Linked DNA regions of Ovis aries. Each later gene encodes a partner of the first gene's protein in a complex. Links are inferred from orthologs where the notes say so. Each region holds a gene or a part of one and is shown on either strand. Other genes may lie near its edges.

Evidence for each region. Proteins that work in one complex are often made in the same cells at the same time.
Region 2: the proteins of GCC2 (region 1) and RAB6A are in contact, whole or in part, in a crystal structure (PDB 3BBP), measured with the Homo sapiens proteins. The link is inferred for Ovis aries from reciprocal best matches to the Homo sapiens genes GCC2 and RAB6A. Residues at the interface, in NP_852118.2 of Homo sapiens: Thr1585, Ile1588, Leu1589, Glu1591, Gln1592, Leu1595, Leu1596, Glu1599, Arg1602; in NP_942599.1 of Homo sapiens: Lys15, Ile46, Gly47, Ile48, Trp67, Arg74, Phe75, Ser77, Leu78, Ser81, Tyr82, Asp85.

What each region holds. Positions count from the first base shown.
Region 1 is NC_056056.1:61,917,191-61,921,520, forward strand, and holds part of GCC2 (GRIP and coiled-coil domain-containing protein 2), read left to right. Parts: intron 1-1,827; coding exon 1,828-1,928; intron 1,929-2,022; coding exon 2,023-2,121; intron 2,122-4,330. UniProt on the Homo sapiens protein: Golgin which probably tethers transport vesicles to the trans-Golgi network (TGN) and regulates vesicular transport between the endosomes and the Golgi.
Region 2 is NC_056068.1:51,958,181-51,963,180, reverse strand, and holds the start of RAB6A (ras-related protein Rab-6A), read left to right. Parts: upstream 1-1,868; 5' UTR 1,869-1,929; exon of another isoform or gene 1,930-2,078; 5' UTR 2,079-2,304; coding exon 2,305-2,374; intron 2,375-5,000. UniProt on the Homo sapiens protein: The small GTPases Rab are key regulators of intracellular membrane trafficking, from the formation of transport vesicles to their fusion with membranes.

The DNA of each region.
Region 1 (4,330 bases):
AGGAAGGTGGCTAAGATGCAGTCTTTGTCTTCAAGAACACACTGCAAGAGAGGGCTGTTCCTCCCAGAGTTTGGGGTGTGGACGGGTTCTGCTGGTGGCTGTGCAGGAAGATGTGATTAACTGCTTGTTGAGTTGGGAGAAACATCACAGGACAGGCTGTCCTTGTCTTAAAGAGTGAGTAACGTGACCCAAGAAGGAGGATACTGTAGCAAGAGGAGACGGCAGGTGCTGGTATGTTCACACTGCTGACATCCGGGGGTCCTCCTGGGAGGTTCTAGAGTGGGAGAGGCCACTCCCAACAGGGCTGGTGTAATGTGTGGAGGAGTCTGGCTTCATCACTCCTGCTTATCCGTCAGAGTAACCAAGATGGGGTTGTGTGAAGTACCTGTAATTCCTCATTTTACTGCCCAGTTGTTGTGGGAGTAGTGAGAACAATCTAGAGTGACCCACAGTCTTCTGTGATGGATGGTTGGAATGGTTGGGGTGACTGGTAGAGGGCTGACCAGGTAAGCCACTTCTCTGCATCATTAGCGTTAGAAGCCCCGAGGTGGAGATCACCAAGGAAGTGAGTGTAGAAGAAAGACAAGGACCAGAAACAGTTCTCTGTCGAGTAAAAGTCAGAAAGATAGAAATGGCAAAAGAGTGAAAAGAAATAACTGGAGGGTTAGAAATACCCAGAGCCTAAGATGTCTTGGAAGCTAAGACCAGTGAAGTGAATTTGGAGGAAGTGTTGAGGAGGGAAGAAAGGCCACTTTAGTACTCAGGCCCAGCCTGAGCTAAGCAGCATCAAGGTCATTGGTAACTTGATAACAGTTGCCATGGTATGCAAGAGAATGACTGGAACGGATTCAGGAAGAAAATAGGGGAGAGAAATGTGAGAACAGACACAGACCATGCTCAGAAGGAAGAGATGGGACAGAGTCCAGAGGGGTGGTGTGGATTTGTGTGTGTGTGTGTGAGAGAATGAATGAAGTCTCACCTGTCTTCTCATGACCCTCCCCTCCCCTCTTTGGCTGCTTCCACCCTTTGTTCCTGACCTTAAGCTCTTGGTGGCATTTCTCTTGTCGCATGTCTGTCAACTGTTGGGGTGAATCCATTAGAGAGTGGGTTTTGCTGCACAAGAGAGGGGAGAATTATGCACTGATGGCCTGAGTAGGTGAGGGGGTATGGGGTGAGACACAGAAGTGGAAGAGTTAGCCTGTGTTACACACACAGACAGTGCCCCTGTAACAGCCGAGGAAGGCAGTGTGAACAAAGGCACAACTCAATGAATCAGCAAGTGTAGAAGTTCAGATCATTACTGAAGTTCATCAGAGACATGAGAAGTAAGATCTGGAACATGGAGTTTACGTCGGGGAAACAGCCAGAGAGATTAAGGGAGAGTCACACTGGACATACTGAAGTCCAGCTGGAAAAAATCAGACCCACCCACCAGAGGCACCTGTGGATCATGAACAGTGAAGAGCGTCTGACATCTCTGCTTCATCCTGATTGGCTGTCACCACCAAGGAGCCCAGCATACCTGCATTTCCAGGAGGTCCTCTGCTGTTCAGGGGTCCGAATGGCCTCTCCATGTATGGACACTGAGGAGATGGGCTGTTCTGGAAGACTGAAGAAAATGAGAATTCTGTTCATTGTTTGCCTTGCCTAGAAAATCCATAATTAAGCTTTTACTTAAAAATAGATACTTTGCTAGTTATTTTAATTTCAAATTGTGTATTTTGTACTAGATTAAAGTTTCATTTCTAGGACTATGTGAGTAATTCTTATATTTTCCCCTAGTTTTCATTTGAGTTTATGTATAATTGTTTCATTTTATGTTTTTAGGATACTTGGAAAAAGAAGCCAAAGAGAAAGAGGAGAAAATAAGTAAGTTAAAACTAGTTGCTGTGAAAGCAAAGAAAGAACTAGATTCTAGCAGGAAAGAAGTAAGTTGACTTAAAAATCCAAGATTTGTGAACCTTACCTTTTAGAAAATCATGTTTTTCTGTGCATTAAAAAACTATCATATATTTAAAATAGGCCCAGACGCTCCAGGAAGAACTTGAATTTGTTCGCTCAGAAAGGGATCAGTTGTCTACTTCCATGAGAGATCTCATTCAAGGAGCTGAAAACTATAAGGTAAAAATAGTTACATTAATAACAAGTTACATTTGTGACTTGTAAGTTAAGAAATGTACTTGAAATATAAAACTTTTTTTTTGTTTATTTATTTTAATTGGAGGCTAATTACTGGTTTTAGCCATACATTAACATGAATCAGCCATGGGTGTACACCTGAACTCCCATCCTGAACCCCCTCCCGCATCCCCGGTCATCCCATCCCTCAGGGTCGTCCCAGTGCACAAGCCCTGAGCACCCTGTCTCATGCATTGAACCTGGACTGGTGATCTGTTTCACATATGATAATATACATGTTTCAATGCTATTCTCTCAAATCATCCCACCCTTGCCTTCTCCCACAGAGTCAAAAAGCCTGTTCTTTATATCTGTGTGTCTCTTTCACTGTCTCACATACAGGGTCATCATTACCATGTTTCTAAGTTCCATATATATGCGTTAGTATACTGTATTGGTATTTTTCTTTCTGACTTAACTTCACTCTGTATAATAGGCTCCAGTTTCATCCACCTTATTAGAACTGACTCAAATACATTATTTTTAATGTCTGAGTAACATTCCATTGTGTATATATACCACAGCTTTCTTATCCATTTGTCTGCTGATGGACATCTAGGTTGCTTCCATGTCCTGGCTATTGTAAACAGTGCTGCGATGAACACTGGGGTACACGTGTCTCTTTCAATTCTGGTTTCCTCAGTGTGTATGCCCAGCAGTGGGATAGCTGGGTCATAAGGCAGTTCTATTTCCAGTTTTTAAGGAATCTCCACACTGTTCTCCACAGTGGCTGTACTAGTTTGCATTCCCACCAACAGTGTAAGAGGGTTCCCTTTTCTCCATACCCTCTCCAGCATTTGTTGTTTGTAGACTTTTTGATAGCAGCCGTCCTGACTGGCGTGAGATGGTACCTCATTGTGGTTTTGATTTGCATTTCTCTGATAATGAAAACTCTTGTCCATAACGTAGTCACCTTGTATGTTTTAGCAAAGGTTTGCACTATTTATGTGTGTGTGTAATGTGTCATCCTAGTGTCAAGGTTTTAAGTGGCTAGGGTTTCCAGTTCCAGTTCAGTTGCTCAGTCGTGTCTGACTCTTTGCGACCGCATGAATCACAGCACTCCAGGCCTCCCTGTCCATCACCAACTCCCGGAGTTCACTCAGACTCACGTCCATCGAGTCAGTGATGCCATCCAGCCATCTCATCCTCTGTCGTCCCCTTCTCCTCCTGCCCCCAATTCCTCCCAGCATCATAGTCCTTTCCAATGAGTCAGCTCTTCGCATGAGGTGGCCAAAGTACTGGAGTTTCAGCTTTAGCATCATTCCTTCCAAAGAAATCCCAGGGCTGATCTCCTTCAGAATGGATTGGTTGGATCTCCTTGCAGTCCAAGGGACTCTCAAGAGTCTTCTCCAACACCACAGTTCAAAAGCATCAGTTCTTCGGCGCTCAGCCTTCTTCACAGTCCAACTCTCACATCCATACCTGACCACAGGAAAAACCATAGCCTTGACTAGACGGACCTTTGTTGGCAAAGTAATGTCTCTGCTTTTGAATATGCTATCTAGGTTGGTCATAACTTTTCTTCCAAGGAGTAAGCGTCTTTTAATTTTATGGCTGCAGTCACCATCTGCAGTGATTTTGGAGCCCCAAAAAATAAAGTCTGACACTGCTTCCACTGTTTCCCCAGCTAGGGTTTAAATATGCCTTTAAGGTATTGTTTTTTAAGACTACCATTTCTGTTTGGAATTTCCTAATAAAATCAGTAATAAGCAAAGATGGCTATTATTACAGTCCTCCGGCCAAGGAAATGTGAAAGTTAGACATGTGTGTTCTTGCCTGGAGAATCCCTGGGACAGGGGAGCCTGGTGGCCTGCCGTCTGTGGGGTTGCACAGAGTTGGACATGACTGAAGTGACTTAGCAGCAGCAGCAGCAGACATGTCTAACACAAATGTGAAAACACTATTTGGAGGTATTACTGCTCATCAGCCTAAATAACATGAGACACTATTATAGGAAGATGAAAAAATAAAACAAGAATTTGCCGTTTTGTTTCTTTATGCATTCAAGTATTTCTACAGCCAGGCTGAGCCTGAGTACTAGGAAGACGGTGGTCAACCAGGTAGGTGGAGTTTCTGCCAACCTGGCCTTAGTCCCAAAGGCAGTAAGAGCAGATAGACAAATAGTGTGTAGGAAAGTTAAGGTGGGTGGGGT
Region 2 (5,000 bases), on another chromosome or scaffold:
CTCTTTTCCTCCCCTCAATTTATCCTAGTTCATTCAGCAATTCATCCCTGGGTTTGAGAAGGCAATTGTTTGATCCTGTCATTTCTATAGCTAAGTAAATAACCCTCAAATAATGAGAAAATGTACATAAATGTGTTTTGTGAATGGTATGGCTCGATACACAAATTTAATAACTTTTTATTATTAACTTGGAAGTATTTTTTATACGCGTTTTCAAAAGTGTCTCTTTCAAGGGCAAGGATTACTTTTTCATATGCTGTCCTATAGTATGGTGAGTTGTGACTGAAGTATGGTAGGGGTTGATGCCAAATTCTCTAATTTGACAATTTATTCGATAATTCTTAACATTTATTTATCTTTTATTAATAGACTTTATTTTTTAAAAGTTTTAGATTTACAGAAAAATTGAGAGTATAGGAAATCCCCATGTGCCTCTCCTCACCCCCAGTTTCCTCTATTACCCTGCATTAGTATGATATGTTTGTTACAATTAATACCTGAATATTGTTACACTGTAATTAACTAAAGTCCATATATATTTAGATTTCCTTAGTTTTTGCCTAATGTCCTTTCTCTGTTCCAGGATCCCATTCAGCTTAACAGTTTAGTTATCATGTTAGTGTGTCCACATTACTCTTGGTTGTCACATCTTCTTGAGCTCCTCTTGAGTGTGACATTAGTTTTGGGGGCTCATCTTCACTTTGGGGGTCATGAACTGGGTTGAAAGTTATGGATTCTCTTCACAGAAAAATAGGCAAGCTGTAGATGGCTAATTTAAGGGAGGTCTACCCACAGCTGATTCAGAAACCCTGCTTTAGAAGAAACAGATGATCCTTAGAATATCCACTTCCCCACATCAGGGCCATGCTCTATCTCCAATTTGCTGTGTGACCTTTCTGCAAACCCATTTCCTACATGAGCCTCAGTTACACCAGCTGTAAAATGGAGCATCTGGTTTACCTGATATCTAAATCCTTTTCTATCACAGTAGAAGGTGGGGTCACCTAGAGCTGTCCATATCTGAACAACAAAGATTGGTAACAGAAGACCATAACAGGTCAGGCAAAGAAAGTGAATAGGCTTATCAACAGGAGTTGTGGAGGTCCAATGGGGGAAAAGACAAAACCTGGGTTCCACTTTATGACTGTGGATTTTGTAAGTCATTTCCTTCCCATGAGCTTCTGTTTCTTCATCTGCAAAAAATATGAAAGCCCTGCTTCTGGTAGTTAAGAAACTCCTCGGAACAACAGCGGAGACTGTACCAAGAAGGGTATCATGCAAGGAATTAGAAGAAAAAAAAGGAGAAAGTGGGTGAAAGGCGGATGTGAGGAATGAGAAGCAAGGTTGAGGGCTCAGGAAAGAGGAACCATCTGCACACCTAAGGCCTTCCGACTTCACCTGCACTTGTCTGGGTCAATTCTCTTTCCTTTCCGGCTCCGCCTCCGCCCCAATTCCCACCCCTCCTCTCCCCTCCCCTCAGGCTGGGCCTGGCCACACTTCGCATGGCCGCCAAGCTCAGCCGCTTTCCACCACGCGAGGGTAGCGCGCGCGCTCTGGCGCCGCCAACTCACTCCCATCTCTGCCTGCCCTTGACCTCTTTCGATTGGTTCATCCAGTAACTGACGTAAGTGCTCCCTATTCCACCTCCAACAGTTCCTCCAGCCTCCGCCCCACCACCTCCCTGCATCTTCCCAAGCCGGTGGAAACCTAACCACCCCTGATCTCCGCTGAGCGGGCGGAACCGGGAAAGCAGGCAGAACCAGGAAGGCGCAGTCTGTGGCGCGCACGCGCACGCACGCACGCACGCCGGGGCTGGCTGGGCGGCAGGCTCGCGCCCGGGCTCGCCCCGCGCCGCGCCACAGGCTCGCGCACTCAGCAGGTTGGGCTGCGGCGGCGGCAGCTGTGGAGCTGAAGCGCTGCGTGTGAGAGGTCCCAAACGCTTCTGCGGCTTCCACTCCGCCACCCTCACCTCAGTTTCGGTGCCGGGTGCTCAGAGGGGAAAGGCGCTAGCCTTGGGATCCCCCCCACCCCTAGCACACCCCTGGCTGCTTCCGACACCGCCTTCATTCCCTTTCTAGCTGCGGGCCTCGCCAGGTGCTAGGCGACTCCGAGGGGAGGCGACGGCGACGGCTGCCTGTCTGTGTAGAGGAGCCCTGCTCTCCAGCCTTGCTCCACCGCCGGGCCCTGCAGGGGCCGAGAGAGCTCGGCGCCGGCCCTTACTCTAGCCTCTTCGTCAACCGGTTGGAGCGGCGTCGGTCCGGGAGGTCTCTGGGCTGAGGCGGCGGCAGCTTCTCCGGCTCCATCATGTCCGCGGGCGGAGACTTCGGGAATCCGCTGAGGAAATTCAAGCTGGTGTTCCTGGGAGAGCAGAGCGGTGAGTGCGCGGCTCCCCCACTCCTGGCAGCTGGCCGTGGCTTCCCCGCACCGCCCCCCAATGCGGCCCTTCAGTCCGTGGAGGCTCCCTGCGGGCCTCGCGTTAGCGCTCGGTTCTACCCCCCGCAGCCCCTGCCCGTATTCGGTTCGCCGACCCCTCTTCGCCACCCGTTCCTCTTCCCGTGATCCGTCGCTCGGATTTTGACCCTTCAGTCCACGGGCTCCGTTCCCCGCAGCCCGGCCCTCTCCAGTCGATCTGCCCTCCCCACTCCTCACCCCGCCCAGCCCCAGCCTGCTGTCCATCCCTTTCTTCCTCCGGTCTCCGTCGTCTCGCCAACCCCAGCTCCCTCCCTTGAGCCCCACCCTTGTTCCTTGCTCTTATCTCAGTTGGTCTGCTCTGTGAGGCCCACCCGGGAAGCCCCACGCTGGGTAACCGGCCCTCTTCAACCTTGTGCTAGGAGGGTGGGATCTGGGCGTTGTTTTCCCCAGAGGTTTAGCCGCGAGAGGTGCGGGTCTTACCGAAGGTGGGAAGTAGGTGGGGGGGGAGGTCCTAGGAAATTATTGGATTGTTTTCACCTGGGTGGGGGAATTGGCCGGGGTTTTGGAGGATATGTATCTGAATTGGAGGGGACTTGAGGATGGAGTGGTTGGTGAGTGAGGGAGTGGCGGCGGCAGTGGCGATTTTTGCCCCTTGGGTTAGGCTGTGGCTCGTTGGAAAACCTCGTTTTTTTCTCTTGACTTTCATCCCTGACGATCCTTTCGGCAGTGTTCATGCCTTTCCAATCTCTGCCAGATGCTATGTCATGATCGTTTTACTTGGAATTTTTCACATCACACCTCTCCTTTTTCTGCTTCAACGCGAAGCAGCATCTGATTCTCCTCACGGTGGTGCAGACAGGAATTACTGGGGAGGTGTTAATTATTCCATTTCATTAGTATTTTCCAAATATATATCAATATTTAGGATTACTTTGAGAGACAGGTTTAGAATAATGAACATCTTTGTTTTGTAGGATTTCATTTGGGCTTTGGGAGTAGAGAAGAGAGTAGAGAAGAAATCGATTCATCCACTTGTTATCTAAATTAGATTTGAATATGTAATATCATTTTGACTAAATGATTCTTGTATAGTTAATATTAGTTCGTATCTGATGAGTGAAATTGTTGTGTCATTTACCTGGTCAAACTTGTGCTGTCATTGTACTACAAAGTAATACAAATTAGGTATAAGGTTCTAATTTTGTGATGACCGTTTCTAAAATTACTTCTTATGGTAATTCTAATTTTATGCTATATTATGTAAACTTCATACTCTGTAGTTTAGCGATTATCATGCTCTGTTGTTTCTCTCACATTTTTCTTGTCTTTAAAATTGAGTCATTGAGAGATTAATTAGTTTCTCCCGAGTCATCAGACAGTTGAGTTATCTGCTAGATATTTTAGGTTAGGCTATAGAAAACATTTATTTCTTTTGATGGAAAAGAAAATAACTGATAGATAGCAAATAAATTCGGAGCTCTTATTACTACTTTGAACTATTTATACTAATTGGAATGGCATTAAAATAGGTTAATAATAGTTGCAAAATTGCTTCCAGTTGGTCTTGAGGAATTGTTTTTTTCCTTTCATAAATAATCTTTTCTCCCTGACCTCTTATCAAGTCTCCTCGTTGCGTATTTTTCCTTTATGTATTTCCAAGTAAATATAAACTTGTTCCTTTAAATAACTTACTGAAACCTCTGAGATTGATCCCTGTCTATGTATTTTATGACATTTTCAAGACAGTGCCATACATAAAATACACCTATTGGTCATTATTGATAAATAGGACACACATACACATACACACACAAAGTGCTTATGGTGCACTCTAGGGATTTGATTGCCTGCCTTACATTGTGATGCAGAGCTATTCAGTTTGCATGAAAAATACATTAATCTCTGTCTTAGGAAGATTTTAGTATGAATAGAGACCATAATTTAAGAATCTGCAAGTTTCCTTTGAATTTCTTGAGTATTTATATTCTAATTCACATTGCAGAGTTTTATGGCTTCTCATTTAATTTCTTAAATCTTAACTAACTCCCCTTCCTTCCACCGTCTTAAATTTTTTGTAACTAGACTTGATTTTTTAGAGCAGTTTTAGATTTACAGAAAAATTAAGATCTTGCAGAGTTCCCATCTAGCCCCACCCGGATTCCTCTATTGTTAACATCTTGGTCGCATTTGTTATTGTTAATGAACCAATATTGGTACATTATTAAGTAAAATATATAGCTTATTCAGGTCTTCTCAATTTTTATCTCTTTGTCTTTAAACATTCAATTCAGGATGCCACATTACATTTGGTTGTCCTGTCTCCTTAGGCTCATCTTAGATTTTTTTTTTTAGCATTGTGTTTACATGCTTTTTAACTCTGTAGAACTGTGAGATTTATTATCTTTTGAGACCACTGTATTGCTCAGTAATACCGTCCATTGGCATTGGAAAGATTGATCTCTGTTTTCACAGGCAGTGTCTGTAGTTTTCTTATGCATTAGCAAAAGTCTAGAGTCCATGTCATCTTGATTTAACTCATGAATTTTTTATTTTTAGGTTTTAGAATTCCACAGTTCATCTTTCAAAGA